4 linked regions of the Elephas maximus indicus genome follow. The protein of the gene in region 2 interacts with the protein of the main gene of each other region in a pairwise test. Links are inferred from orthologs where the notes say so. Each region holds a gene or a part of one and is shown on either strand. Other genes may lie near its edges.

Region 1 (7,997 bases), on a different chromosome or scaffold from region 2:
AGGCCTTCTCCAAGGAGGTGATACTGGAGTAGAGATTTGGGTGAGGTGAGAGAGTGAGCATAGCTGGGGAAGAGTGTTCCAGGCGGAGGGAACTGCAAGAGTAAAGGCCCAGAGGTGGGAACATTCTGGCATGTTCTAGGACCAGTAAGAGGCCCTGAAACAGAAAGTGAACGGGCTAAAGGAGGAATCAGGCTGAGCTCTTGGAGGACTTTAGGGGAATGTCATGACCTGAGTTACACTTTAAAACAAGCTCTTGGGCTTTTAGGATACTCATTTTACACAGAGACCAAGGCTCGGAGAGGTCGATGTTCCCAGGGTCACACAGCTGGTGGGTCCAGCTGCCACCTGAGCCAATGCTCTGTCCAGCGACCCTATGAGCTCCCCATGAGTTCACAATCGTGAGCTTTCCCACTGGGCTCTTACTCAATGCTTTGAAGTGGGGGAGTTAGCCTGCTTGGGCAGATAAGAAGGCTGGCTCACTTGTTCACGACCACAGACCAGAAGGCATAGGGGTCCGAGGGTGGGGTCTGGGTCAGACACCTCAGGTCCAAAATCTGGCCCTCCCATGAATTTGCTGGGAGATGTTGCAGAACTTTCAGAGCCTCAGTCTCCTCATCTGTGAAGTAGGGGTAATGATGACACATGATTTGGCCCCTGCTGACCTCTTCTCGCAGCCCCCTCCACCTCCTCGGTGTGCTCCAGCCAGCCCGGCCTTTCCTGGAAGGTATGAAGGTGTCAGGTCATACCTGCTGAAGGAACACACTTCCCAGGTCTTTGTAAGCTGGTGTTCTCACAGAGGTCTCTGGTCACCTGGTCAGAGAAGCCCTTTCTGACCACCACATCTAAAAGCCCCCTAGTCCCATCACCTTCTTACCCCCCTTTACGTATTCATAATTCTCGTTACCAGCTGAAAGTCGCCCATTTCTTTGTTTCCCAGCTTATTGCCTACCTCCTCCCAGTCACAAGCTCTGTGAGGGTAGAACTTTGCCCGTCTTGTTCCCTGCTGTGCTCATGGCCCAGATATAGTAGGGGCTCAATAAATATTTATCGATGACTGAATAAGTGAATGAACAGGACCCACCTGTGAGGGCTGTTGTGAAGTCTACCTGAGGTAATGAATGGAAACTGCTTAACACATTGCCTGGTATATAGTAATTGCTCCATAAGTGTTACCTGCTATTATTGTCATCGTTACGAACTCTTTGAAAATTTTTATTTATTTTGTTGTTGTTGAGAATATGCCCAGCAAAACATACACCAATTCAACCGTTTCTACATGTACAATTCAGCGACACTGATGACATTCTCCGACTTGTGCAACCATTCTTGTTCTCCTTCTCTGAGTTGTTCCTCCCCCATTAACATAAACTCACTGCCCCCCTGAGGTTCCTGTCTAATCTTTCATGTTGTTGTTGTCAATTAGATCCCATATAGATAGATCTTTAACGAGCATAAGGCCCAAGGCAGACATTCTTTACTAGTTAAGCTAAATTATTGTTTGGTTTGAAGAAGACTTCAGGGGATATTTTTGGTTTAAGGTTTAAAGATTATCTCCGGGGAATAGTTTCAGGAATTCATCCAGCCTCCATGGCTCCAGAAAGTCTAGATTCCATAAGAATTTGAAATCCTGTTCTAAAATTTCCCCCTTTTGATCTGGATTCTTCTATAGACTCTCATGACGATCTCTTGACTTTAAAGCCCATGCTCTAAACTTCTCTGCTGATGATGAATTGAACCAAATTCCATCATCCCACCCTTGGTCTCTTGACCTTTACAGGGGCCTTTGATGCCAGACAGTGACTCAAGTAGTATTTCAGGCCCTGTGCTGGGGTTGCAGCAGCGGCTGAGGGCAGGCAGGTCAGTCACAGTGTGGTATGCACATGACCAGCCTCACCCACCGCCCACAGCCTGCAAAGACTCATGGTCTCCTCAACCAGCCCCAAGCTGGGAGGGGACGAGATAGTGACAGGAGTGCAAAGGGCGGGACTCGCCTTGCTGTTCTGGGATTCTAGGAGAGGCTTCTCCCAATGACCACTGGGTGGCAGCACTTCCCCGGAAATAAGAGGCTGGGAAAGCATTTTCAGCGTTGACTGTGAGACTGAGAGCGGAACTCTCTGAAAGGACCCAGGCCCAGTGGGGGCACAGCTAGGACTTGCCTGGGCCACACAGCTTCCAGTGGCAGGGCCTGGGCTTCCTGTGAGGTCACCTGCCTGCCTTGGACAGGCTCCAGAGCAGCAGCAGGGGAGAAGGAAAATCAAGCTCGGAGATTGAAGGTTTGAGGACTAGCCAGAGCCTTCTGGAATGTTGTCACCCCAACTTTGACCCCCCAGAATCCTACCCATCCTGAGGAAAGTGCTCAAACAGTCCTCTCTGAGGCCCCTCCTGACCGGTGACTCTGGCTGAGGTGGTGGTTCACTCTCTCCCACCAGCCACTTGTTAGTCTTCAACCATGCCTGTCAGCTCTGCAAACTGTGATCCCCTGAGGACAGAGACTATGCTTTGTCCCCCCCAAACCCCCACTGCCTGTCACGGGAAGTCTTTGCACCAGCTGTGCCCTCTGCCTCTGTCTCCCTTCCCCTCTTCTTGGCCCGTGTACCAGTAGCTGAGATGTCACTTCTTCCAGGAAGCCTTCTCTGGCCTTTGGCCTGGGCAGGAGCCCACCTCTGGGCCCACACAACACGCTGGACACCCTCCTGGACAGTGAGGACCCTGGGGAAGGATTCTTGGGGCGCTCAAATAGACCCACCCTGAGTCTGCACACTGTACCTCTGGGCCCCGGACACAGAGGTCCTCAGCCTGCAGGGGGCATGAAGTCACCTTTAGAGCTTTGTGAAAACACAGCCTCCTCCAAAGTCCCATCTCCAGAGACTGCTCCAATAGGTCTGAGAGGGAGTCTGGGAATCTGCATTAAAGATGCCTTCAGATGTGTCTGAGGCAGGGGCCCCAGCACACTAAGGCCCTCAAACCGTGCCATGGGCTTTGCCTTCGGAAGTGGTTGGGCAAAATAATGAAAATGAAAAATGACAGTGTCATGGATTGAGTTGTGTCTCCCCCAAATATCCGTCAACTTAGCTGGGCCATGATTCTCAGTATTGTGTGATTGCCACCATTTTATGTGATTTTCCTATATGTTGTAAATCCTATCATTATGATGTAATAAGATGATTAGCGGCAGTTATACTGATGAGGTCTACAGGATTAGTGTCTTAAGCCAATCTTTTTTGAGATATAAAAGAGAGAAGTGAGCAGAGAGACAGGAGTGCCTTACACCACCAAGAGAGAAGCGCTGGGAGCAGAACGCATCCTTTGGACCTGAGGTTCCTGCACCAAGATGCTCCCAGACCCGGGGAAGGAAAGGATATTCCTCCTGAGCCGACAGAGAGAGAAAGCCTTCTCCTAGAGCCAGTGGCCTGAAGTTGGACTTCTAGCCTACTGGACTGTGAGAGAATAAACTTGTCTTTGTTAAAGCCATCCACTTGTGGCACTTCTGTTACAGCAGCACTAGATGACTAAGACAGACAGTAGCAACCGCAACCATCTGTGCCATGTGAACCACTCACGCAACTCTTTCACCCCCGTTTCTCTTTTTTCTCTTCATCTTTATAAATACCATCGTGGGAGGGACCATTAGCCTCGCTCTACGGACACCTGAGGCTCAGAGGCAAAGGGCGACTTGCCCAAGATTCCCAGCTACAAAACGGCAGAGCCCAAGCTTGAGCTCAGGTTGTCCTGGGGTGGAAGAGCCACAATGCATGTTAAAGCATCTGGGGTGGAAGATGCTGCTTTTTTGAAAATAGAAATTCTGGCCTAAACACAGGGCTCAGTGGTTCCAGCCCTGTGGAGGGAGCCCAGTGTTCCAGCCCCAGCCCTGCCATTAGCCACCTGTTTCAAGAGGGGTAGCTGCTTCTCTGAGCCTCAGTTTCTTTACCTGAAAACTGTGGTTGACAATACTTGTTCTCCCCTCCCAGGGGCGCAGGGAACTTTAAACTTAAAGTCCTGTGAAAGGGATCTGAACTGCAGAGAGGCACAGATCTGCTGAGACCTGCATTAGCTCCCCAAGGAGGGAGAGGCCGGGACTTCCACCAGGCTTGGGGTACATGGGTAATCATCCTCCTCCATCTCCCCTTCCTCCACAGCCCCTGGGACAGCTAGGGAAGGAAGGTGGGCAGGCCTGGCCCCCATGCTCCTTGAATGAGGTGGACGCCAGGGCTGGGAGAGCCAACCTCCTCCAGGAAACTCGTTTTACACAACAGCAGTGGCAGAAGAGGTTGGCAGGGACATGAGATTCGGACTCCTCAGCTGGGAAGTACTGATGGCGTTTCCTGATCCACAGGTAAATGGGGGCTGTGACCCTCGCTGGGCCCCCAGGGAACTGCTCCTCAGCACTAAGGAAGGAGATGAGGGTATGAGGAGTCTTTCACCAAATACCATGGTCTGGAACTGGAGAGGATGATAGAAAGCCTCTACCTCCATGTCCTTAGTTTATATATGGGGAAACTGAGGCATGTAAAGGGAAGGTAACTTAACTTGTCTGATTTGTCCTTAATAGCAGACCCGCTGAATACAGGTCTCCTGACTCCCAGTTTAGTGTCTCGTTCTTAAAGGACACTGGACTGGGCGGCTGGTGTCTCAGGCTCAAGTTCACCTTTGGGTGGCACTGAACAAAATCACTTCCCCTCTCTGGAACTCAGTTTCCTGCTGTGAAAGTAGAGCTGAGATTTCAAAGCGTCCTTCCAGTTGACACTCGAGTAAAGGCGTCACCAGGCTTGGTCTAGGCCCGGGTGCTGAAAATGTGAAAAGGAGGGTCTCAGGGTTTGTAGTGCACTGAACTTCGTCCGAGAGCCCCCGCCCAGAGATGCTTTCGTTGCCACGGCAACCGTCCGGACAGCGTGGTCCCCTGCGTTCCGCTGAGGAACCTGGGAAGAACCCTGCCCTTACCAAGATGGCGGCGGCGACAGGGCAGGGGGCGGGGCTAAGCGCAGTCAGCTCCTCCAGACCTTTTCTCTGTTCCGCTTCTTCAAACCAACATCGAGCTCCCGTCCATACTTGTTCTCTTTCCTGGTTCTGGAAGCCCCTGGAGCCAGAGACGGAAAGGCTGCCTGCAGGGATTGGGGCGAGTACCTCAGGGAGAGGGAAGGCGGGACTTCCGCGTCTCACCGGAAGTGACGCGACAGTCGCGGCCGCCGACAGGTGGAACGGCAGGTAGGTTCAGGTGCCAGCCTGGCAGGGTCCCGGCTGTGGGACCGACGCTTTCGGTGAGCGACAGAGGCGGCCCCCAAGGCCCTGGAGACCCGTTGGGCGGGCTTTGGAATTTGAGCCTTTCATCCTGGCCTGGAGCTCCTCTCTGTACCTAGTAAGAATCACCGCCACCCCCAGCCAGGACCCTCCATCGTGAGGCTCTCCCAGGTCTCCCAAATCTGCGGGGCTGGGTTTGGCATGCAGGCACTTCGGTTCCTTAAACCCTACCCTCCTTTCTCTCCCGGATCCAGTTTCCTTTTCCCCTACCGAGGTTTGCAGTTAGCCAGCCCATCCCAACTCTCGGAACCATGTTTGCAGACTTGGATTATGACATCGAGGAGGATAAACTGTGAGTATTTTGTTCCCCCAAGTCCTGGGAGTGCTCTGAGGGAGCGGCGGGTCCCTCAGATTCCTGGACTTCTCGGTTCCACAAATTCTTGCTCCCCTGCGGTGGGTCAGGACTTGTGCTGAAACAGAAACAGACCCTGCCCTCCAGGAGCTCACCATCTGTAGGGGTCTGTGGACACATTGGCAGCTACAGCTCAGGGCTGAAAGGGCCCTGATGGAGAGTGACCTGGCTTCGAGGAGAGCCGTGCGGATGGAGCAGTGTTTCTGCCGGGGTGTTCAGGGAAGGCTTTACGGAGGCTTGAGCTGAGTTTTGAAGAATAAATAGAAATGTCATAGCCATACCTTCCTTCCCAATCTAGACAATTAGTGGGACAGAGTTTTAAAACTTAGGTTTGTCTCTGCATTAGAATATATACTCCATGAGAGCAAGGGCTGGGCCCAATTAATGCCTTTCTGTGTCCTCAGCCCCAGTGGCATCACTAGGGTTGGTGTCACCCAGTGCGGTAACTCATGATGTCACCCCTCCATGGACCTTCTCCCATACCAGTCCATACAGAATCCTTAGCAATGTTTTTTTGTACTGATGTTACTCCTAAATTGTGATTTCCGTATATCACTCTTTCTTTTCCTTTAATTACTACTTCATTCTCAAAAAAAGTTACTGATAATAGGTTCACAAATAGTAATTACCACAATATTGTAGCTAGAACACCAGAAAACTTGACAATATCAGTGACTGTAAAAACACCAGTAGCAACAAAAACAACAGCGCGTTCTTGTAGCGCATGCAGACAAAACCACGTGGTTCAGAGTGTCATTGTAATTGGGTAATAATGACAGCTCTGACCGCAGGGCACTAGACAGTTCAAAAAATGAATTAGCATAGAGTTTTAGCCTTATGGGTATATCGATACATGGAAGCTGGGCCTACGAAAAAAGGTTTTTGTTGTTGTAACTGCAGGGATATTTTTATAAAACGTAATAAGTTTCTGCTGAAACACTGCATAACAATTTTATAGACAGTCATTTTGGTGTCACCCCCTCTGACAGTGTTACCCAGTGTGGTCTGCACCTCCTGCACCACCCTAGTGATGCCACTGCTCAGTACTTAGTAAGGTGCTTGACATCATAGGGCGTTAGCAAATGTTTTTGAATGAATAGGTGAATAAATGAGAATATTTACCATGAAACATAAATAAGTGCTAATATATAGTAAAAACTGAGATGTAGAGTAATTGAGCAGATGGGAAGTGGGTGGTTGAACAGGGGAGGGCTTCCCAGAGGAGGTGGCCATACTGTCCCATATGTGCCTAGGAAGGTGACAAGGACAGAGTCTGAGTAAAATCTCAGAGAATGAAGAAATGGGAAGGGGAACCACTTTTTATGGGGTGCCTGCTATGTGCTGGGTTGGGGTTAAGTATCTTCCATGCACTTCTTCACAATAACTCTGATAATAAGGTGGTCTTATTCCCATTTTATGGATGAGGAAACTGAGATGCAGAGAGGGTGACTTACCCATATCACATAGCTGATAAATGGTACATCTATGATTTCATTGCACATCGGCATGACTCCAAAAGCTGTGCACTTTCCAAAACAAAATGCTGCCTTTCTGGTCAAGTGAGGCAGAGCAAAGGTTATGTAACAGTTGGAGCCTCTCGGGGGTTTTGGAGGACCCACCCCCTGCCCTGTGTCTTCCAGTCATCCTTCTTCCAGGAGATGCAGCCTTGCTCTTCTTTTTCCAGTGGAATCCCTACCGTGCCTGGGAAGGTGACCCTGCAGAAGGATGCCCAGAACCTCATCGGGATCAGCATTGGAGGAGGGGCCCAGTACTGCCCCTGCCTCTATATCGTCCAGGTATTGGGCACTTTGGAGGTGGGGCGAGGTCCTGGAAAGGGTGAGTACCTCCTTGCTTGGCTATGATGGAGGCAGGTTCATTTCTGCACCCTGCATACATAGCTGGCTCCTCAGTCTTCAGGTAGCGGGCTTGAACAAGTGAATAAATGAAAAGTGTCCTCCTTAGAGAGGCCTGCCCTCTCAGTAGGTCTGCCCTTGTTTTTCTCTATCTTTGCCATCTGTGCTTTTTTTTTGTCAGCATTTATCACTGTCTGTAATCATGGGTTGGTTTGCCACTTGTTCTAGACCTGGCTGTTCTCCAGAGTCTTTGCAGTATGAAGACAGGGTCCCTGTGTTGCTCGTTTGCTGTGGTCAGCACCTAATGCAGTGGACATGCAATAAAAATGGCTTTAATGAATCTATGAAACCTTTGGCCTTGGGTACGAACTCAAGCGAAGTGTAGTGGATAGATCTTGAAATAAGAATGGCCTGAGTTCTAATGTAAGCTCCTCTGCTTACTAGCAAGTTGGTTAGCCTGTCTGTCCCTCAGTTTCCTCACCTGAAAGATGGGAATG
Region 2 (7,007 bases):
TACTAGGCACTGGGGATGCAGCAGTGAAGAAAACACTGTTTTAACGGAGCTTACATTCTAGTGAGGGGAGACAGACAGGGCCTACTTGGTGTATTCAAGAAACAGCTGGAATGGGGGGGGGTATGGAATGGAAGGGTAGAGGGTGCCATAGAGGAAATAACAGAGGTCAGAAGATGTAGAGAACAGAGGCCAGAGTAAATAAGAACTTTGCCTTTTACTCTGAGAGATTTAGGGATCATTGGAGGGTTTTTTGCCTTTTACTCTGAGCCATTTAGGGATCACTGGAGGGCTTTGAGTGCCAGAGTGACTTGATGGACACTTGGACAGGGTCACTCTGTCTTCTGTGTTGAGAATAGAGAGACGAGGACAAGAGGAGCTGCAGGGAGACCAGTGAGGAGGTTATTGCAGTAACCCAGGTGAGAGAGATGGGGCTCGGACCAGGGTTTTAGCAGCACAAGTGGTAGGAAGTAGGTTCTGGACTCTGAAAAGATTTGCTGATGGATTTGTAGCTGCAGAGTGTGAGAAAGAGTCCAAAAGGACTCCTTTTTAAGCCTGAGCTACTCACTGGAAGGAGGGGGTTGCCATTAACTGTGTAAGGGGAGAATATGGGAGGAGCAGACTCTGAGGCAGGGCTGAATTCACTTGGGCTATCTTGAAAGAAACTGGTTTTTATCCTGAAAGGGGAAATTTCAAGAGTTAGAGATCAGAGTGAGGCTGAGACACAGAGGCAAGTGGGCAAGGCTAAGTCACAGTACATTTAGGTATAAGCATTCACTCATTCATTGAATATTTATTGGAACCAACCACTTTTAATGTGCCAGAGACACAAAGATAAATAAGACATCTTTCCTGTCCTGAAGAAACTCACAGTCCATTGAGAGAAACAGAAATATAAATAAGCAATTCCAGTACATTTCACCATCACAGTTGAGCTATTCAACATTTCCTGAGTCCCTGCTCTATGCCAAGCAGTGTGAAGAGGAAGCAGGCAGTTTGTACAAAGTTCTACAAGAGTACACAAGAAACTGCCTCCAAAGATTTGTGAAGGTATTCACAAGAGTTCATCACAGTGTGGCACTGGGGAGTTGGCAGCAACCTAAATGCCCGTCACCAGGGAAATGTGTAAGTAAAATCTATGGAATACTCAGCAGCAGGTAGAAGCAACAACCTAGGGGTACACCCAGCAATGTGGAGACAGCTCAAAAACATAGTGTTGAGTGAGAAAAGTGGGAACCAGAGATTTACAGTCCAATAACATTTCTGTAAGTGTAAAGGCATACAGAAAATACTGCGCATCTTAAATTATCAAGTATCATAGCAAACAAATTGCAATGGGTGCCTAGAAGAATGAGAGTGGGGATTGAGGGAGATGAGAAAAAGTAATATAAATAATATAAACACTATAAAATACCTTAAACATGAGAAGGGCCTTGAAGGGACTCATGATGACAATGTGCTGAGAATTGAGGTGCAAAGCAACTTCACTCTCTGCACCTGAGGTAAAATAACTAGCTCACAGAAATCCAGCTAACAGTGCTAAGGGATAGTGCTAAGGGTAAGTATTGCTGGGGGACAGGAAGCATGTGGCTCGAGCAGTAAAGGTGGTTGTGGAGGGCTGATATCTTGAAAGCACTGGGTAACTTGAGCAACACTCTACACATGGAAGGTATAATTATTCTAATCTACTCTGATCCAGTCCAGCCTATGGCGAGAATCTCTATTGGAGTCTTCCCATCTTGTGACTCCTCCAGAGACTCTTCTAGTCCAAGGGGTCATTCCGGTTTACTATGGCCTCAAGGAGTGTGGCCTCTGAGCTGCTGCCTTAGAGCTAGGACTGCACCAGCTCTGATGCTGCTGCTCTGGCTGGGGGTGGGGTGGGAAGGGAACGGGGCCTCAATGATGCCTCTCATTCTGGGGCATCTGTCTGGGGCAGTTCATGCTACTTCCCCCAACTCAGTGCTGCCCATCTGTCAGTTAACTCTGGCCCCTCACATTCCAGCTTGAGTCATTTCCCCTTCGCCAAACACACCTTCCTCTCCCCACACTAGGTCATGTCTCATCATTATTATAGGTGCACTTATTTGATGGCAATGGGTTTGGCTTTTTTGGTTTGGTTATTCTTCATAGCCCTTATCACAGCTGCAACTCTACATTTACTTTTCCGATAATTTATGCCCATCAACGGTAATGTGCTTGACTGATAACCAAAAGGTTGGTGGTTCAAACCCATCCAGAGGTGCCATGGAAGAACCCAAACCAAAACCCACTGCTGTCAAGTCGATTCTGACTCATAGCAACCCTGTAGGACAGAGTAGAACTACTATGGGGTTTCCAAGGAGCGGCTGGTGGATTCCAACTGCCGACCTTTTGGTTAGCAGCCAAGCTCTTAACTACTGTACTACCAGGGCTTCCCATGGAAGGCCTGGAAACTTGCTTCCAAAAGATCACAGCCTTGAAAACTCTATAGAACAGTTCTACTCTGCAAAACATGGGGCTGCCATGAGTTGGAGTCAACTCAATGGTAACTGGTTTGGTTTTTGGTTTTTAGGACTGTAGGTTTCAAGTTCGATGTTGGCCGTTTTGCTTTTGTTTGTTTTTGCTCACTCATGTATTGCCAGCACATGAGTTATTGTTGTTAGGTGCCCTCCAGTCAATTTCGACTTATAGCACCCCATGTGACCAAGCAGACCTGTCCCACAGGGTTTTGACTATAATCTTTACGGGAACAGATCATCAGTTCTTTCTCCTGAAGAGCCGATCCACCAAGTGGGTTTGAGCTGCCGACCTTTTGGGTAGCCCTAGTGCTTAACATTCAACCACCAGAGCTTCCTTGGCACATGGTAAACAAAAAATCAAACCCGTTGAGGTAGAGTTGATTCCGACTCATAGCGACCCTATAGGTGCAGTTGGGCTGCTAATCAAAAGGTCATCAGTTCAAATCCGCCAACCCACCTTGGAAACTCTATGGGGCAGTTCTACTCTGTCTTAGACGGTCGCTACGAGCTTTGGCACATGGTAGGCACTCAATAAACTTTTCAGTTGAATACAAGCACCCCAGACAAGGGGAACACAGGCCCAGGAGGATACAGCATGGTGCAGAGGCAGAGATGAGAAAGATTTGGGTTTTGTTTACCATAGAGAGTAAAGTGAGTTGCAAGGAAATGGGTCGTGCAAGGCCCCTGTAGGCAGATCGCCTGTCTGCTACGCACATGCCCACCTACCCTCTTGGTACAGGGTGGCACACAGTAGGGGCAGATATGAGCTGTAGAGAAATGAACAAGTGCTTAACTTTTTTTTATACTTATGTCAAGTAAAAGTATGAAACTGAATTGACCGAAAGGGAACATGTGGGTTAGTCTCGGGTCTGAGGGAAAGCTAAAATTTCCAGAGATGCCAACACAATCCATTGCCCCTCAAGGGACTTGGGATGTATCTCCTACTCTGCCTAGAATGTCATGGTGTGGGTGGGCGCTCTTCTCCCTGTCTGCCTCTAAGGGTCACATTAGCCTGGATGAACTGGTTGTTACTGTTACTAAAGTCTCCTCCAATCTAATTCACCTTTATCCTTGTCTCCCACTCCACCTCCAGCTCAATAAGCCTTTGCTCCGCTTTAAAAAAACAACAACAACAAAAAAAATAAACCACCACCTCCCACCCTGAGCAGCCTGGCCTCAGATGACTGAATGCAGGCGATCGCTACGGGAGGCCCTTTCCCACGCCTCCTCTCACCCTCTCCAGTGACAGGCTCCCTGGTCATCGCTGGGCTTTGCGAAGCGACGCGACCCGTCACTGCCCTTCCCGCCTTCCCGCGCTGGGCCATCCCCCGCACACGCCGAGCCCGCGCGCCCGTCGTCGGGCCTGGCGCCCCAGCCGGTTCCCCACAGCGCGCATGCGCGCGCTCCAGAGGCCGCGGGGAAGGGAAGGGCGGGGCCGAGGGGCCGAGCCGGCGGGGGGAGGGGCGGCGCGGGTCACGTGACGCGGCTTCAGTGTTTACACGCGGAGCGGCCCGGCGTTCAGCGTTCGGCCTCAGTCAGGCGCTCCGCTCCGTTTCGGTTTCACTTCCGGTGAGGGGCCGCCTTGGAGCGGGCAGCGAGCCGACGGCGAGCGCAGGCGGTGGCGGTGACGGCGGCGCCGCTGCCGGGGGGCGTGCGGGAGCGCGGCGGCGGCGGCGGCGGCTGGGCCTCGAGCGCCTGCAGCCCACCTCCCGGGGGCGGGCTCCCGGCGCGAGCAGGGGCGACGAGAAGATGGAGGAGCTGGTGGTGGAGGTGCGAGGCTCCAATGGCGCTTTCTACAAGGTACTCGGCTCTGGGCAGGCCCCATCTCTTCCCTTCCTTCCCTCGCTTTTCTTCGCGGCCTCGGCGGGAGGCAGGCCTGGGGCCGGGCCGGCGCGCTCGGCTGGAGGTGTGGGGAAGGACGGGCGCCGGGCCTTCGGGAAGCCCCCCGAGCCTTCGAGAGCCCCCGGCGCCCGTGGGGAGGAGACACGGGCGAGGAGAAGGGGCGCCCACCCCGGCCAAGCCCCGGCGCGGCAGGCTGGGGATGGGCGAGGGCGGCGGCAGGTAGAGCCAGGCGGGAAGGGCCGGAATCGGCGCGCGGGGACGGCGACAGCCGCTTCCTCCGTCCCCTTGCTCCGTCGCCCAGCTCCCCGCCCGTGGGCTCCGGCCTGACGTGGGGGAGCTGCGGAGGAGCGGGGGGCGCCTTCGGCGGGCCGCCGCCTGTCCGGCCCAGAGGTTTTCAGGTCCCCTTTGGCGTCGCCTTCTGGTCCAGGATTGGGACTTCGAAGAGCGCCGCTGTTCTGGGCGAGGTGTGAAGACAGAGTAGTAAGAAGTGGTCGTCAGTCCCAAATCACGGTGGTAACTGGGTTTACTGCTCTCTCTCTTTGTGCATTTTTACAAGAGCCTCCAAAGTTCCAGAAAGAGCCTAACATATCTGGGCAATCGGTGCATTAAAGAAGTTGGTAATTCTTCTCCTTCGGCCCCCCTCCCTTTTTTTAACGTGGGTAAATTCTGGAATACAGCATCTAAAAAACATTAGCAACTCTACTACTCACTTTAAAATTTTTTTTCGTTTTTTTTAAACTCCCCAAAGACCTGAATATATGCCTCATGAAACTTGAGAAAATTAATTGGGACTGTCTTATTACTGAGGAATTTTAAGAACGGAGTGTTTGGAAATGTTTGCTTTGTGCTCTAAGTATAGGTATTTGCCTCTCTTCTCTTTGGATGTGTAATGTTGCAGAGGACTGTGTTGTAGGGGTTTTGAATAGGCATTAATAGTCCTACTGTGGGTTTTTATTTTTGAAGTTACATCATTGCACATCAACAAATATCTTACATTTGAGAAAAACAGAATTAAAAGCAATGTTTTGGTGGATCAGTAGGGGGTTTGTTAGTTCATATTTACTACAGTAATCTATGAATTTTTGTTTCCTCTTCAATGTCTGTATAACTTCTGTAAGTAAGATCCCACCTTACTAGAGTATTTTGTCAACAGAAGGTGCACATGGAAGGAAGCATGGAAAATAGCTATGGCCATTGTCCAACACAATTGTTAAAGTATTACGGAGTAACTAACGTTTCAAAGGGACATGTTTGGCTATAAGAAAAGCAATCATTGACTCAACTACTTAACAGACTATAAGCTTACCAATTTTATCGCAACATTTGGGGATGAGTATGTTTCATAAAAGACTAAAGAATGTAAATTGTTCCACTAAGAATGATAAAACCTTTTGCTGTACAAGGAAGTGAAAATTAACTCAGCATTTTTTATTCTTCACCGTCTCACCAATATAAAATTGTTAACAGTTGATTCTGCAGTCAAAATTGTGGATGCATTTATTTCAGCAATTCATAATTTCTAATGGTTTGTGTAGAATAGTTCTGGTTCTTAGATTTGTAGTTTTAGTCACTATTTTTGTGGATCTAACTATAGTATACATGACCAGGTACTAATGGTTGAGCAGTATTTTAACTGATTTTTTTTTTTTTTATAATATCAGCTTATATTGGACACCACCCTTATGTCTTTTAGGAGAGTTTGCTTGCCATAGAGGGCAAGTAGCACATCCTGGTCTTGAAGGATTTATTGTTCTTTTCCAGCAACACATGATTTGCTCCAGTGATTTTGCTTGCAAACCGATAGGAATATAAGAAATGCCCCCTATCATTGCCATTAAGCTCCCTTTTTGTTTTTGTTTTTTAACCAAGTGGCTTAATTTGAAGGTGACTTAAAAAAAAAAAAAAGAACCAATTGTTCCTTAGCTCTTTGAGAGGAGAAGAGAAGTTGCTGTTATGTTTATTTAATTAAGGTTTCTTTTTAAGAAAATCTCAACTGATCTGTATTGGTGAAAAAAGAGTTTCTGTAATGAAAAAAGTTTAGCTGTTTATTTAGCTCATAATATTGCTGTGAGTTATAAAAGAGCAACAAAGTAAACTGAATTGCTTGTCGTTAATGTCTGGTGGGATGGACATGAAAAATAGGAAATAAGACCAATCAAAAATGAACTGCTGTAGAGAAATATGTTGCATTTATTAAAAAAAAGGAACCTTGTTCATTGAATTGATAAAAAAAAAAAACTAAACAAATGAAATAACTTCTTTATAATTGAACACAGACTTTGATTTGCCTAACAGAGCCACCATATTGCAAAGTACAGTTCTCCATCTTCTGAGCACATGCTCCAAGTTTGCAAATAAAAACTCAGTACTGAGTATATGCTGGTAACAGTTTTATTCTTTCTCTAGAACATAGCTGAAGCTCAGGATTTAGAATTAACCATGAACCCTAAACCCTAAGATTGCAATAGTTCACTTCTACTTTTCCTCTCATGTTTATTCTTAAAAATTTGAAAGTTAGATTAGTAATTATCAGAGCCACTGTTTTTATTGCTTAGATATTTCTTTCACATTGAGTCAGTTACATGTACCACTTATAGAACCTTGCGTTATTTTAAGACGTGAAACACTTTGAATTATAACTCACAAAATCTTTATAAAGCATTTTCTAAA
Region 3 (7,821 bases), on a different chromosome or scaffold from region 2:
AAACTTTTATTTGTTAAAGTTACACTTTTCTGTACTGCTTGTAATACAAAAGCATAATTAAAAATTTAACTGATGTTAGCTGAGGCTTCAGGCATGTGTTTAATAACTACATTTAACCACTGGACGAAATTAAAAATAAGTCTTATATTTAGTCTCATTTAGTAGTCCAAGAACTTTCAAAAGGTCAAACACAGCCGAAAATGTCAAATTAACGAGTTCTCTATTAACGTGGCATACTCTCCTCGCACACCCCGACAAGGGGCTCTGTATAAGGCTAACTCCAGCCCCGCTGGTGCCCTTCCCCACCAAGCCCTGACGGGATCACCATCTGAGAAATTCCATTGTTGTTTATCACAAGCTTTCCTCTCGTAGGCAAAAGCAAACAACTGTGATCAGCCTCCCTGAGCCATTACCTGCTGTAGGCAGTTATAGAGTTCTTTTCACACACATGAAGGAGGAGTAATTACCCAGGCAGGCTCTGGGGATTTCTAAACTGCAATATTTAATTCATGAGGTCAGCGCTGCCAAAAGCTTGGTTGGTGCAGCGGCAAGAACAACCAGGAAGGTATTTGGGGTCAGTGCAGTTCAACAAGCCTTCCCTGGGGAAGGGAAATAGTCTTGGTGAACATTTACTAGCTAATCTATTCCTTACATTCAGCTCCAAGAAGGGTGCAAGGAACTCCATCAGCTCTCAACCTTTCACCTTCCAGAAGCAGACCTCCCCCTTCCCTCTGTCTGCAGGGCAAACCCTCTTAGGGGATCCCCAGAGTCCTGAGGCCCATGCACTATTTCCAGGCAGGGCCAGGAGAACTTACCTGGTACATGATGGAGGAGGGCGGAGGCTCGATGCATGGCTGCTGGTCAGGGAGGGGCAGCTCTTCCAGCAGGTCCACGTTGGACAGGGCATCTTCCAGGGTGACGTGAGTCGTCATGGCTGCAGCTTCCCTATTCCGCACTGAGGGAAAGGAAGAGAAGGGCAACAGAGGATTTCAGGGGGCTCTAAACATTTCATCCAACCCCACCCAGTGCAGACACTTTCCGTGGGATAAAGGGGGCTAACATGCATTAAGATCACTTCCACTTGCTACTTCTTCAGAACCATGCTCTAGGGATGGCTGGTGCCCTCAACCTGCACCTTATATATTTGAGGATTTCTTTACAGTTTATGAAGTCCCTAGGTGATGCAAATGGTTAACACACACAGCTGCTAACCGGAAGGTTGGAGGTTCAAGTCCACCCAGAGGCTCCTCAGAAGAAAAGCCCAGTGATCTAATTCTGAAAAGTCAGCCACTGAAAACCCTACAGAGCACAGTTCTATTCTGACACACATGGGTTCACCACGAGTCAGTCAACTTGACCGTAACTTTTTTTTTTTTACAGTTTACAGAGTACTTGTATGCCTATTATTTCAGCTTAGACTCAACAACCCGCTATGATCAACAGGGTGAGTGGGAAGTATTATATTCAAAGAACTCATAAAGAAACAAGGCTCAGAGAAGTTATGTAATACCCATACAACCACAGTAACCAAAGGTAAATGACCTAAAATAATGCCTGACACCAGGCCAGTCAGTCCCCGCCTTTTGCTCTTCATAAGGATATTTACCATTCCACTTTTAAATTAAAGCACAGCACAGATATTCACGATTTCAACAGCCAAGATAACCAACAACTTGAAACCAGAGCCTAGGCTTCATAGGCTAATTAAGCCACCAGTTGCAGCGGCGTCAATTTGGACTCCTGGTGACTCCATGTATGTGACGGGAGAACTGTGCCCCATAGGCTGATTTTTTTGAAAGTACATCACCAGGCATTGCTTCCAAGGTGCCTCTGGCTAGACCTGAACCTCCAACTTTTGGTTAGCAGCCAGTTTACACCATCCAAAGGCAAATAAGCCGGGACTAAAAGAATTCAGGCTCCAGCAAATCGACCTTGTTTGCAAAGATGGAAGAGCCCTCATCTCCCTTGGCCCTGGTATGTTTCGTGTGCCACATCAAACAAATAAGCCCTAAGGGGACATTTTTTGTCTTGGACCCAGCAGAGTGCAGCTGCTTTGAGAACAACATATTTGCCAGGCAGTGAAGATGCAGAGGATCTGAAAAGCACTGCTACCAACTCAAGCCAATTGCTATTTTAAGAACTCAGCACCCAGCGAACAGCTTATCCATCTTTGTTTTTTTTAAAAAAAACACACAGGAAACACTGATAGAAACTGATTGTGATTTAGGCCTTAGAACAAGTTGCCACAAGTTCCCCTAAATATGATATCCAACAAGTCACAGTCAAAGATAACGACACAATGAAATTAGAAATCAATAATGCAAAATGAAGCAAAAAAAAATCCATTCTGTTGAAAACTTATAAAACACTTCAAAGTTATTGATGGCTAAAGAGAAATTCAAATGGGAATTATAAAATATTTTGAACTGAAAGATAAAGCACTAATAAATATATTTATTGGAAAATAAGAAAAATGGAATTAAATGAACCTAATTTTCCATTCAAAAATCTAAAAAAAAAAGAGAATTAAAAAAAATCAACACAAGAAAATGAGAATACAGGAATAATTAGAAAAGCAGAAATAAGTGAAACAAAAAAAGCAAAGCAAAACCAAACAAACGGCAGTAGCGGTGGACACCAATGTTAAAAATTGAGTTTCTAAAAAAGATTAATTAAAAAGAAAAGCTAACCCTTTAGCATGTGTGAGTAAGGAGGAAACCGAGAAGACTCATCTTTCTATTGCGGGAACTCCTCCCTCCCATGCCAATCCCAGGGAGGCAGGAGACATACTTAAGGGTTGAAGTTTCTTGCTTGGATGTCAGCTTGCTTTGCTCAAAGGAAACGAGGCGTCAGGCCAGAGGAGGCATGAACAACTGACATGTGAACCTGGGCTGCAGAGAGTTGAAACAGCTGCAGAGTATACCAAGGTCGTGCTATCACTAAACTAATATTTTCTTTAGACCCAAGGTTGGGAGGGCAGATGGGGGCTGAACTAGGAAGAAAGACAACCTTCACCCACCGCTGAGCAGCTCACACACTTCACTGAGTTCTCAAACACATCTTCCTGTCACGTACTATGGTAATGGTGAAAGCCACGTGCAATGAGGGAATACCCAGCTCAGAAGTGACTTCCCCCTCTGCCCTCTGGGGCATCAGTCCTCACAGGGATGGTTTCAGGTCCCCATCTGCACCTCCCCCTCTTTCTTTGTTCTCTTCTCTCCTCAGAATCCTAAGTGTGACATTCAGCTCCACAGCAAAACCATTTGCCAATCCATAAAAGATTGCCTTCTTTCTTACATTAATGTTAAGTCCATTTTACAGAAGGGTTAATGATTTTACAGGGCATATTAATTCAAAGGAAACCCTATGGCATAGTGGTTAAGAGCTACAGCTGCTAACCAAAAGGCTGGCAGTTCAAATCCACCAGGCACTCCTTGGAAACTCTACGGGGCAGTTCCACTCTGTCCTATAGGGTCGCTATGAGTAGGAATCGACTCGACAGCAATCAGTAATGATTCAAATCTATAACCACCAAAGGCCTAATAATTTCCTTTATTAATTCAAATAATAATAAAACTATCATTTCTTCAGCCTTACTCTGTGTCAGACACCATGCCAAGCACTTGACGATTATAATCTCGCATGAAAACCCTATAAAAGGAGGTACTATTATTATCCCCATGTTACAGATGCGCAAACAGAAGTTCAGAATTTAAGTAATTTCACAAGGTCAAGTGCTGGCAAGTCGTGGAGCTGAAAATAGAACCAGGTTTGTTCAGCTCCAAAGTCTGTGGTCATATTCATGACCCTGTACTTCTGCCCCAATGTTCAGCCTCACTTGTGATACCAGACACATGACTGGAGGTTTATCCTGTATCAGGCTCTGTGCTAAGTGTTTGAAAGATGATACATTAGTGCTTCTCCTGTCTGCTTATGGCAGAGATGCACATGCTCAGCTTCTTCGCATTAAATGTCTGGGCTTCATCCATAGGACTCTGACGACTGTGTTTTTAAAAAGCTTCCAACCTTGTTCGTAATAAGAGAAATTCAGATTAAACTACACAGAGATACTGTTTCTCACCTACTGGACTAGCAAAAATCCAAAGTTTGACAACACACGTTGTTGCTGAGGCAGTGGAGAAACAGGCCGTCCTATACAATGCTAGTGGGGATGCAAAATGGCGCAGCCACTATGGAAGGAAATTTGGTAGTGCTGTGGATTGAACTGTGCCCCTCAAAAATGTGTGTCAACTTGGTTAGGCCATGATTTCCAGCATTGTGTGACTATCCGTCACTTTGTCATCTGATATGATCTTCCTATGTGTTGTAAATCCTACCTCTATGATGTTAATGAGGCAGGATTACAGGCAGTTATGTTAATGAGGCAGGAGTCAATCTATATGATTAGGTTGTATCTTGAGTCAATCTCTTTTGAGATAGAAAAGAGAAAGGTGAGCAGAGAGACAAGGGGACCTCATGACCACCAAGAAAGTAGTGCCAGGAGCACAGTCCATCCTTCAGACCTGTGCTCCCTGCACCGAGAGGCTCCTAGAGCAGCAGAAGATCGATGACAAGGACCTTTCTCCAGAGCCTACTGAGACAAAGTCTTTCACTGGAGCTGGAACCCTGAATTCGGACTTCTAGCCTCCTAGACTAAGAGAAAAATTTCCGTTTGTTAAAGCCACCCACTTGTGGTATTCCTGTTATAGCAGCATTAGATAACTAAGACAGGTAGTATCTAGCAAACTTTCATAAGCATTTTACCCTTTGATCAGCAATCCCACTTCTAGGAATCTATCCCAAAGACACACTGGCAAAAAGATGTCTGTACAAGGTAGTCACTGCAGCACCATCTGCAATGGCCACAGACTGGAAACCATGCACACATCTGGCTGAATAAACCATGGTACGTCTATACGATGAAGCAGCAGGCGGCACCGAAGACAGATGACACTCTACATGCAGTGATGCAGTAAGCTCTTGGACATGCAATGTATAGTATGCTACAATTTATATAAAAAGGAGGAGATGCACACACATATATCTTATATTTAAAAAGCAAACAATGAAAGGATAAACCATGTAATTTTAAAGATTGGTTACCTACGGTGAGAGGAGAAAGGAATGGGAAGGAATACAGTTAAAGGGACAAGGATAGAAACTAGAATTCTTTTAATATATCTGGTTTTATAGATTTGCCTTTAAAACCATGTAAATAAAATTTAAATTTACAAAGTAATCTCCAAAACAAATGAACCTAAAGGTCTATCTGGTTGGCGGCATAACCACACAGAAAGAAACCATCCCAAGTAATTTTAAAATTCATTAATTTGACTGCACATCCTTAGTGGGATATACTCTAGAGACGACAAAGGACTTGTAAATATATAGCTTAAGTTGTTTTCCGTAATTATATTGAGGTACTGTTGCTGTGAGAATATGAGGATTTATTGTCCGGTAAAGAAAATTAGTAATTATGGAATGTTCTAATTCTATCATTTCCTGGCATGAAGTACTGGCATCCTTGACACAGGATAAAGGAGATACGTATGTAAGACTGAGGAGACTAAGTAAAAACCTAATAGTCCTGAACATGGATTTGAAGCATTAGTAAGAACTTACACGTTTTAATAAAAAATAAAGAAGGCGTACGTTTTGTTATGTATCTTTCTACCATAAAACATAACAAAAACTCTGTCCACTGAAAAGGCCTAGAAACAATGCCCAACCCAAGAGCAATGGGCACCCTTGGTGCCCAGAATGTCATATCCAAATATCATTTGGAATCAGTGCTCACTGAAGAGTTGGCTTTCTCTAGGTCTGGGACAGAACATGTATAAAAGTCAAGAAAATCTTGTCATACCAGAAAGCAAAGAAGCTATTAATTTAAGACTACTAGGGTGAATCAAAGGGACCCTGAAGCCAACCTGGGGAGGCTTCCACTGACCAAAGATGGGACAATCTGAGCATCAACTAGCAAAATAACTACAATGGACTGAAACAGTATCAAATATGCTTAAATCTGTGTGATCATGACAATAAAAACTTGGTCTTTATTACTTGGTTACTGTTGGAAAATGCTTGTGAACCAATATTTAACTTGCCTTTCCTATACAAACAGTACCACTGGATAACCAAGTTGTAGAAGAAAGGGATGTTTCTCACCATAAAAGTATTTTTCTCCCCCCTCCAAGAAAATCCAATCCCCTGATGAACAAATGGATGTAGGCATCAATCATCAACAACTGCTAACATCACTAAATGAGAGACAATAACACATTGTCTCCTAATGGAAAAGTATATCACCACCTTATGAAGAAGTCTAGACCCAAAACAAAATACCTTAATCTATTCAGCCTTTGATACTTGTCGTAGTCATCTAGTACTGCTATAACAGAAATACCACAAGTGGATGGCTTTAACAAAGAGGAATTTATTTTCTCACAGTCTAGTAGGTTACAAGTCCAAATTCAGAGCGTCGGCTCCAGGGGAAGACTTTCTCTGTCGGCTCTGGGGAAAAGTCCTTGTCCTTAATCTTCCCCTGGTGGAGGAGCTTCTCAGGCACAGGAACCCTGGGTGGAGAGGAAGTGCTCTGCTCTTGGTGCTGTTTTCTTTGTGGTATGAGGTCCCCAACTCTCTGCTTGCTTCCCTTTCCTTTTATCTCCTGAGAGGTAAAAGGTGGTGCAGGCCACACCCCAGGGAAACTCCCTTTACCTTGGCTCAGGGAGGTGACCTTAGTACGGGTGGTATTACAATCCCACCTTAATCCTCATAACATAAAATGACAATCACAAAATGGAGGACAACCACACAATACTGGGAATCATGGCCTAACCAAGGTGATACACACATTTTTGGGGGGACATAATTCAATCCCCAACAATACCAGTTCACAGGAAACAAAGGACCACAGTGATACAATCAGTAAATTACAATCTATGGGAAACTACTAGACAAATGACTCAGTACCTTCAACGAATAAATTGCAAAAAACAAAAAACACAGAGCAAGAGAACAAGAGAGATGAAGGGAGAAGCTATAGGCTATAAGAGACTAAACAGACTGTCACAATGCGTTGACCTTATTTGGATTCTATCTCAAACAACCAACCATAAAAATAACGGAGTAAAAAAACTTAACAATGATCAGATATTTGATAATATTAAGGAAATGGCAGTGGCATCACTAGGGTTGGTGTCACTCAGTGCAGTAACTCATGGTGTCACACGTCCCCACCCCTGATCCCGCTCCCAGCCCAATGGATCTCCTGTCTTTAGTACTGTTTTTGGTTCTAATGTTTATTTTCTCCTTCTTTCCCTTGAATTAATAATTTATTCTCAAAAAAGGTATTGAATTAGGTTCATAAATACTAATCACCACAACACTGTTTTATAGCTAAAACACCAGAAAATTTGACAAAATCAGCGACTATAAAAATATCGGCAGCAACGAAAACAACAACGCGAGCCTGTGGGATGTGCAGATGAAACCACATAAGTCGAAGTGTCAGTGTAACTGGATAAAATGACATCTCTGACCACAGCACATTAGAAGGTTAAAAAGTAAATTAGCATAGAGTTTTAGCCTTGTAGGTATATCGATACACGTAAGCTGGGCTTGTGAAAAATGTTTTTGCTGTTATAGCTAACTACATGGATATTTTTATTAGAAAATTATAAATTTCTGCTGAATCACTGCATGAAAATTTTATAGACAGTCATTTTGGTGTCACTCCCTCTGACAGTGTCATCCACTGGGGGTCACATGGCCTGCATTCCGCCAGTGACGCAACTGGGAAAATAGTGTTACTTTTTAGGTGTA
Region 4 (7,433 bases), on a different chromosome or scaffold from region 2:
GACATATTTATGTCAAAGAGTTAACCTGATAATAAATGTACTATTCTGTACCTGAATATATCAAGAATCGAAATGATCTATTCTGGTTTCTGACTAAGAACTACTACTTAAAAAAGTATCCTTACTGGCATCACCATTTTCTTTTCAAGATGACTCTGCAAGCAGAAACAAAATTACAGTGATGCTAGGTTTTACTGTTCACCAACAGAGAGACACAGAAGAGAAAGAGTCACACCAGGAAGGGGATGCCGGGAAAGTGGTAAGGGTCTCGGGCCCCCTCCCAGAGTGACTTAGTCTCACTTTACATCTCAACAAAATGACAAATAACTGCATGATGGATGGTGTCACATAGACACGACTGTCTATGTTGATCCTGACAAGTGATGCTTCAAGTCTATTACCATAGCTTGCCATAGCTCCTAAGCCTGAATATTTTTCAGGATCTCCAAAATATTTCTTAAAAAAAAAAAAAAGGATCCCTGGGCCCTTTCCCCAGATTCCGATTCAACTGGTCTCGAGTGGGACCTGGATATACGATTTTCCCAGGTATGCCACTCATTCAATAGTAATAATGAAAATTTAAAAATAGTAAATATAAGAAAAATAACACGTTTTGAGTTCCTATGTGCTATGTACTCTTTAAGAAATTTAGGTGCATTAATCTACTTACTCCTCACACCAACTTTATTAAGGAGATGTTATTATTTGCATTTTACGGATGAAGAAACTGAGGCACAGAAAGGATAACTAAGTTGTCCATCTTCACACACTAAATAGTGAAGCTGAGATAGTTTGGTATCTGAGCTTTTACCCTTAACTGTTAAACTACTCAACATTCAACAAACAGTTCACACCCATCCTCCAACAAACATTTATGGACTAAACGCTTCTTGAGAAACAAACATAAAAAGAAGCAAATAAGATCAATTCCAGAAAACAGGGATAAGGTAACTGTAGATATGTGGGAGGGTAGCTTTAAAAACAGCAGTCAGGGAAGGAGTCTCTGAGAAGATGGCATTTGAATGGTGACGCGCATGATGAGATGACAGTGGCCATGCGACAGTCTGAGGAAAGAACATTCCAGAGAAAGGAACCAAAACCCACTGCCGTCGAGTCAATTCTGACTCATAGCGACCCTAAAGGACAGAGGAGGACTGCCCTATAGGGTTTCCAAGGCATAATCTTTACAGAAGCAGACTGCTACATCTTTCTCCTGCCTAGTGGCTGGAGGGTTTGAAGAGCTGAGCTTTTGGTTAGCAGCCAAGGGCTTAACCACTGCACCTAGAGAGAGGAACGGCCAGTGTAAAAGTCCTATGGGGGAACAAGCTTGATGTGCTTGAGGGACAAAAATGCCAGTGTGGCTGAAGCAAAGTAAGCAAAGAAGATGAAGGTGCCTGGTACAAAGGGGCTAGCATGTACACTTCGGAGTCAGATTCCTTGGCTTTGAATTCCAGCTCAGCCATGTATTAGCTGTGTGATTTGGATAAGTTATTTAACCTGTGCTATTTTCTTCCTCTCTAAAATGAGGTTGATAATAATTCCAACCTTATATAGTTGTTGTGAAGATTACATAAGCTAAGACATGCATTTAGCACAGTATCTGGCATACACTATGCACTCAAGAAATGCTGTAACAGGCTAGAACAGTTTGGATATTATTTAATTACAACAGGCAGTCATTGGAGGTTTTAAGTAGGGAGAGACATGATCTGAATTACCTTTAAAAAGAAATGCTTGTGGACAATAGACATAGGGGTCAGGAGTAGGGGAGCTGAGTTAGAAGCTAATATAAAGTGGTTAAATTTGCAACAAATTTTGAAGGAAGAGCAAATAGTACCTGCTAGTCATCTGGATGGGAGCGATGAGACAAAAAGAGGAGCTAAGGAAGACTCTTAGGTTCCTGGCATGATTGGCAAGCCAGAGGGATGGTAACACCATTCTCTAATATGGTGAAGGCTAGGAGTGGGAGAAGATTTGGGGGGAAGTCAAGAGCTTTGTTTTCACATCTTAAGTACAAAAGCACACAAAATCGAATCTGTGCTGCTATTAAGTCAGGACAATGGTTACCCTTTGGTTGCAGGGGTGGGTGGAGAGGCAAACAGTAACCGGATAGTGGTCCAAGGGGAGCCTCTATGGCTGCTAATGTTCTATTTCTTGATCCTGATGCTGGTATCACAGGTATCTTCATTTGATGAAATTTTATCAATCTTTAAATTTTTTATATGTATACTTTTTTGTATGTTTACTGTACTTCATAAAAAGGTTTAAAAAATGCAATTTCACCAGAAGCCACAAAAGTTAAAAAAAAAAAAAAAATGGAGAATATTGTTACCAATAAACTTCTTAAAAGCCCAGAATACACTAATGTGAATAAAAGAATAATGTGGAAAAAAATGATATCTGCAGAATTTTAGGGATCTGTTTTAGATGAAACATCTGGGAGGTTATAATGTGAATGGAATTATAGCATAGAGGATTATGTGCTAAAAATGGCCAACTTTGTGCAAGATATTGTGCTTGGTGAAACAGGGAAGTCTTTCAACAAATATCTACCAAAGAGCTTTTATGTGCTAGGCACTGACCTGAGTTGAAGTAAACACTCCTTTCAGGTAGAAGGAGATACACATATGTCTACAGGCACAATGTGTTAAGTGCTTAAAGAATTAAAAAAAATAAAAAAAAGTAAACTGATAAAAGTGAGTCATAATAGAAGTATCTATTTGGGAGATGGTGGTTCGTTTAAAATCAGAAAATACGGTGAACCAGAAACAACATACACATAGGAACCCAGCCACAAAACTTGGTTAACTACATTTTTCTTCAGCCTTAGTTGAATGGAACCTTCCTTGCTAAAAGAAAAATCTATCGCCCTGGAGTTGATTCCGACTCACAGAAACCCTACAGGACAGAGTAGAGCTGCTCCATAGAGTATCCAAGGCTGTAATCTTTACAGAAGCAGGCTGTCACATCGTTCTCCCGCAAAGTGGCTGGTGGCTTTGAACCACTGACCTTTCCATTAGCAGCCAAGCTCTTTAACCACTATGCGACAGGGCATGGCATTTCAATGGCTATAACAGAAATGAGACCTGGAAGGAAAACCTCTAGGTAAAACATGGCCTAGGGGTAATCAAAGCACAAACATTAGATCCAGAAACAGAAAGATGACTCTTTCAGTTTACTTTTCTCCAACTATAGTGCCAATCTCAATCTACTATTTAGAACAAACATAGATATACTTGGAGGAGTCTAAGAAGCATTTCTTTGGCAAGTACCAAATGCCTACTATGTGTTTAGGTTGGAATTCCACAGTGCAGTGGTGGAGACAGATATGCTAACAAATAATTCAAATACAATGCATTAAATATGTGATGGAATTAAGTAGGGAAAACCTATGGGCAAAGAGGAAGGTGTGACAATGCTTGGGAGGGTTTGGAAAGGCTTCATTAAGATGACACCCAAGTTGGAGGTCTTGAAGGATGAGTAGGAATTTGTCAGGTGTGTAACGAAGTGCAGGAGAATAAGGGCAGAAGGAGCCTAGAGCACTGAGGAACTGTACAGAAACGTGGTCTGGCTTGAACACTGAGCGCGCACGCGTGTGTGACATAAAAACAAAATGAGAGGTTAGGAAAACGGGGTTGGGGCTAGAGAGCCAAGAGTCTTCTGGGAAAGCCAAGAGTCTCGTCCTCAGAAGGCAATAAATACGGCACAGAGGTTAGGAGCACAGGCTCCACTGTTCCAATTCGGGCTCCACCACTTACTAGCTGTGTGATCTGGGCACCCGTTGGATCCTTGGTTTCTCTGTTTGTAACATGGGAATGACAATAATTTTTACCTAGTTCCCGAAAGTATTAAATTATTGAACATGTGTCGACCGTTCAGTACAGCGTCCGGCTCATATTAAGCGCTAAATGAAAATACATCATCGTTATGATTACCAGGCCAAAGCTCGCGCAACGCACCCTACTTTCTGAGGAGGCCCCCACGACCACCTCCCTACTGCTAGGGCTTGGGAGGGAAAGTTGGCTGCGCTCACTCCCAGCGGCTCCGTCCTCCCACTCAGGCCTCTCCTCAGAGAGCCAGCCCCGGCCAGAGAGGTGGTGGACAGGCCTGGCGGGCAGGGGACACGCCGCCGCTTACCCGGGCTCGGGTCCCTCTCCTCGTCCTCCGCTGTCCCGCGGGCGTTGAAGCCGGGCGGGAGCGCCGGCCCGATCAGGTCTCTCGCCATCCGCGGTGGCAGGAGCTAATCACGCACACAAATCTGTTCGCGCGGAATGAAACCCACCCAAAAGGCAGCCCGCGATCCGTCACCGATGCCGGAAGTTTTTCCGGCGCTGACAAATGACGTTTCGATTTGTGGTTGGCTGTGCCGTATAATACAAGATAACGGAAGTGACGCTAAAAGCTTGTTCCGCATTCGCCTGCAAGAGTTTCCACCTGGTGGGTCGCATGGCTGAATCCGCGAGCGGTTTCGTGACTCCGTCGGGATGGATTCCACCCCCCGAGTTGACTCCCACGTTGGGGCCTCTGAATAACACTACCCCGATGCGGGACAACTGGATGCTCTGGGCAATGATGCCGCCGCCGCCACCTCCGTCGTCTCATCCTACACCCGGATCAGGGCTTTCCTCGGAGTCACAGCCCTCCCGGGAGGTCCAGGCGCTCCCCGGGGTGCCGCCCCCCTTCGACGCCCAGCTTCTTCCCGGGGCGCAGCCCCCCTTCGACGCCCAGTCCCCTCTTGATTCTCAGCCTCAACTCAACGTCCAGCCTTTCTGGAATTACCAGGCTTCGACATCGTGGTACTGGAGACAGCCTCCTGATGATACTTTTCCTAAGCATCAGAAGTCCCACAACTCTTCTGGTAGGCTGTTTTTCCTTGTGGTATCACCCCTTTCTTCTCTCTCCCATTTCTCCATTTTCTCTCTCTACATCTGGTTCTTCTCTGCACTCTTGGAGTCTGGTCATTAGTGTCCCATACCGTGTACGACTGGTATGTTTTTCCCGCTTGTTCATTTACTGTAGCAGATTTGTATTGAGTTCTCACTATGTACCAGTAACTGGAAACAGCAGTGGACAGAACATACAAAAATCCTTGTTTGTGGAGCGTAACAGCTCCCTAGTGTGGGAAGACAGACAATAATCAAAATATTTACGTTGTGTATTAGAAGATGAAAAGTGTTCTTTTTTTGGAAAGAGGTGAAGCAGTAAAGAATGATAGGTAGAGCGAATTTAAATAGGCTGGTCATAGAAGGCCTCATAAGGAAGGCAACATTTGAGCAAAGACTTCAGGGATCAGAGCCACAGATATATGGGGGGGGGGGGGGAGGCATATAGGCAAGTGCAGAAGCCTTGGGGCAAATGCTGTAAAACAGAATGGATAAGATCAATCTGACTAGAAAGAACAGAATTCGTGGTAGAATTGTAGAAGATGAAGAAAGAGGGCTGACCTTGAAGGGCCTTGTAGACCATTAATGGAACTTTGACTTATACTCTTGTGAGATGGGTAGCCATTGATAGGTTTTGTGGAAAAGAGTGACATGATTTGATTTATGTAGTAGAAGGATTAATCTGGCTGGTGTGATAGGAACTGAGTGTAAGGGAGATTGGCAAGATCGTTAAAATTACCCAAGCGAGAGATAGGACCAGGATAGAGCTCTGGAGGTAATGAGAAGTAGTCAGATTGCAGATATATTTGGAAGGTAGGGCCAACATGATTTGCTAAAGGATTAAATGAGGAGTGTGAGATAAAGAAGAGGCAAGGATGACTTAAGGTATTTTGCCAGACAAAAAAGGAACTGAGATGGGGAAGGATATGGATGGAACAGATTTGGAAGGGTAGGCCAGGAGTTGAGTTTGGAATATGTTAGCGCCAAGAAGAGCTACATGTAGACTGTTAGCTATGAGTCCGTACTTTCAATGGAGATGTGTGTGGCACTATAAATTTGGGCATCATCAGCATATAGATGATATTTAAAGCCATGTGCTAGTTAATTCTGCATGAGGTTCAATTTAGGCTAAGTGGAATTCAAATGTGTACTTAATTGATATCATACTGTATGCCAAATGGTGGAGATATGAGTGGGACTAAGACAGTCCAAAGACAGGTGATAAAGTTTCATAAATACAAATCACAATGCAGTGCGACTGGTGATACCAAACCAAACCCATTGTTGTCGAGTTGATTCCGACGCACAGTGACCCTATAGGGCGGAATAGAGCTGCCCCATAGGGTTTCCAGGGAGTGGCTGGTGGATTCGAACTGCCGACCTTTTGGTTAGCAGCCAAGCCGTTAACCACTGTGCCACCAGGGCTCCTGACTGGTGACAGAGGCACGTAAAAGATGATTTCAGAGTGCAGAGGAAATTGGGGAAAGCTTTTGCAGGAAGTGTCTTAGGAGCTGTGTAGGATCTGGAGGATGTACTTTCTCTGCGGAGGCAAACAGTTGTCAGTACAAGGTGGGCTCTGTAGATTGCAGTGTTCTAGTGTGACTGAGATGGCAGTGATGCCAGTGGTCATGCTAGAAGTCTTACCTCCCATGCAGGGGACCTGGGTTTGATGCCCAGCCAATGAACCTCAAGTGCAAGCAACCACTTGTCTGTCAGTGGAGGTTTGTGTGTTGCTGTGATGCCGATCAGGTTTCAGCTGAGCTTCCAGACTAAGACAGATTAGGAAGAAAGGCCTGGCCATCTACATTCAAAACTCAGCCAGTGAAAACCCTATGGATCACAGTGGCCTGCCGAATCTGCAACCCATTGTGGGGGTGGTGTAGGACTGGACAGCGTTTTGTTCTGTTGTGTACGGGGTTGCCGTGAACGAGGGGTGGGGACAACTCAAAGGCAGCTAACGAGTGTGATTGCATCGGATTATGTAGTGGTGGGGTGCGGGGGCGGGGATGTGTAAGGGAGGGTGAGAAAATGAACTGGAATCTCAATGAAGGACTCAAGGAAGCTATTTGCAGATTTTTGAACAGGGCAGTGACATGATTGGAGACTATTTTTGTGGTGTTGGTCTACAGGGTCAGTTGAAGAGGAAAGGCTTAAGAACTGGAAGACAGTCTAGGAAGTTATAATAGTAATCTAGGTGAAAGATCAGAGTTTCTGAGTTGGATGATGGCAGTGATAATGGAAAGAGGCAGTGGGATTTGAGAGAAGATGTGTTTTACAAGGCTGTGTTTTCTTGATATTAGATTGATGCTGGAATAACTGTATCAGGGATTTCATTTTAATATTTGAAATAACTGCAAGGAATTTCATTTGGTAAGATTATCCATTTCTGTACTTAGAGATACCTAAATCCATTCCACTGCTGTTGAGTTGATTCCGACTCATAGTGACCCCATAGTGTTCCCAAGGCTGTAAATCTGTGGAAGCAGACTGCCACAACTTTCTCCTGAAAAGCTGCTGATGGAGCCTGAGACCAGAAGAACTAGGTGGTGC

The links.
Region 1: the proteins of FMR1 (region 2) and PICK1 interact in a two-hybrid assay, tested with the Homo sapiens proteins (2 studies listed by BioGRID and IntAct). The link is inferred for Elephas maximus indicus from reciprocal best matches to the Homo sapiens genes FMR1 and PICK1.
Region 3: the proteins of FMR1 (region 2) and CYFIP2 interact in a two-hybrid assay, tested with the Homo sapiens proteins (2 studies listed by BioGRID and IntAct). The link is inferred for Elephas maximus indicus from reciprocal best matches to the Homo sapiens genes FMR1 and CYFIP2.
Region 4: the proteins of FMR1 (region 2) and NUFIP1 interact in a two-hybrid assay, tested with the Homo sapiens proteins (2 studies listed by BioGRID). The link is inferred for Elephas maximus indicus from reciprocal best matches to the Homo sapiens genes FMR1 and NUFIP1.

Annotation. Positions count from the first base shown.
Region 1 is NC_064822.1:181,955,918-181,963,914, forward strand, and holds the start of PICK1 (PRKCA-binding protein), read left to right. Parts: upstream 1-4,990; 5' UTR 4,991-5,202; intron 5,203-5,209; exon of another isoform or gene 5,210-5,353; intron 5,354-5,489; 5' UTR 5,490-5,546; coding exon 5,547-5,587; intron 5,588-7,331; coding exon 7,332-7,443; intron 7,444-7,997. UniProt on the Homo sapiens protein: Probable adapter protein that bind to and organize the subcellular localization of a variety of membrane proteins containing some PDZ recognition sequence.
Region 2 is NC_064846.1:8,487,212-8,494,218, reverse strand, and holds the start of FMR1 (fragile X messenger ribonucleoprotein 1), read left to right. Parts: upstream 1-3,994; 5' UTR 3,995-4,244; coding exon 4,245-4,295; intron 4,296-7,007.
Region 3 is NC_064820.1:173,776,376-173,784,196, reverse strand, and holds the start of CYFIP2 (cytoplasmic FMR1-interacting protein 2), read right to left. Parts: upstream 3,016-7,821; 5' UTR 2,792-3,015; coding exon 2,791-2,791; intron 956-2,790; coding exon 816-955; intron 1-815. UniProt on the Homo sapiens protein: Involved in T-cell adhesion and p53/TP53-dependent induction of apoptosis. Does not bind RNA. As component of the WAVE1 complex, required for BDNF-NTRK2 endocytic trafficking and signaling from early endosomes.
Region 4 is NC_064832.1:35,299,924-35,307,356, forward strand, and holds the start of NUFIP1 (FMR1-interacting protein NUFIP1), read left to right. Parts: upstream 1-4,422; 5' UTR 4,423-4,446; coding exon 4,447-4,858; intron 4,859-7,433. Other genes in the region: GPALPP1 (GPALPP motifs-containing protein 1), read right to left, coding at 4,138-4,225. UniProt on the Homo sapiens protein: Binds RNA.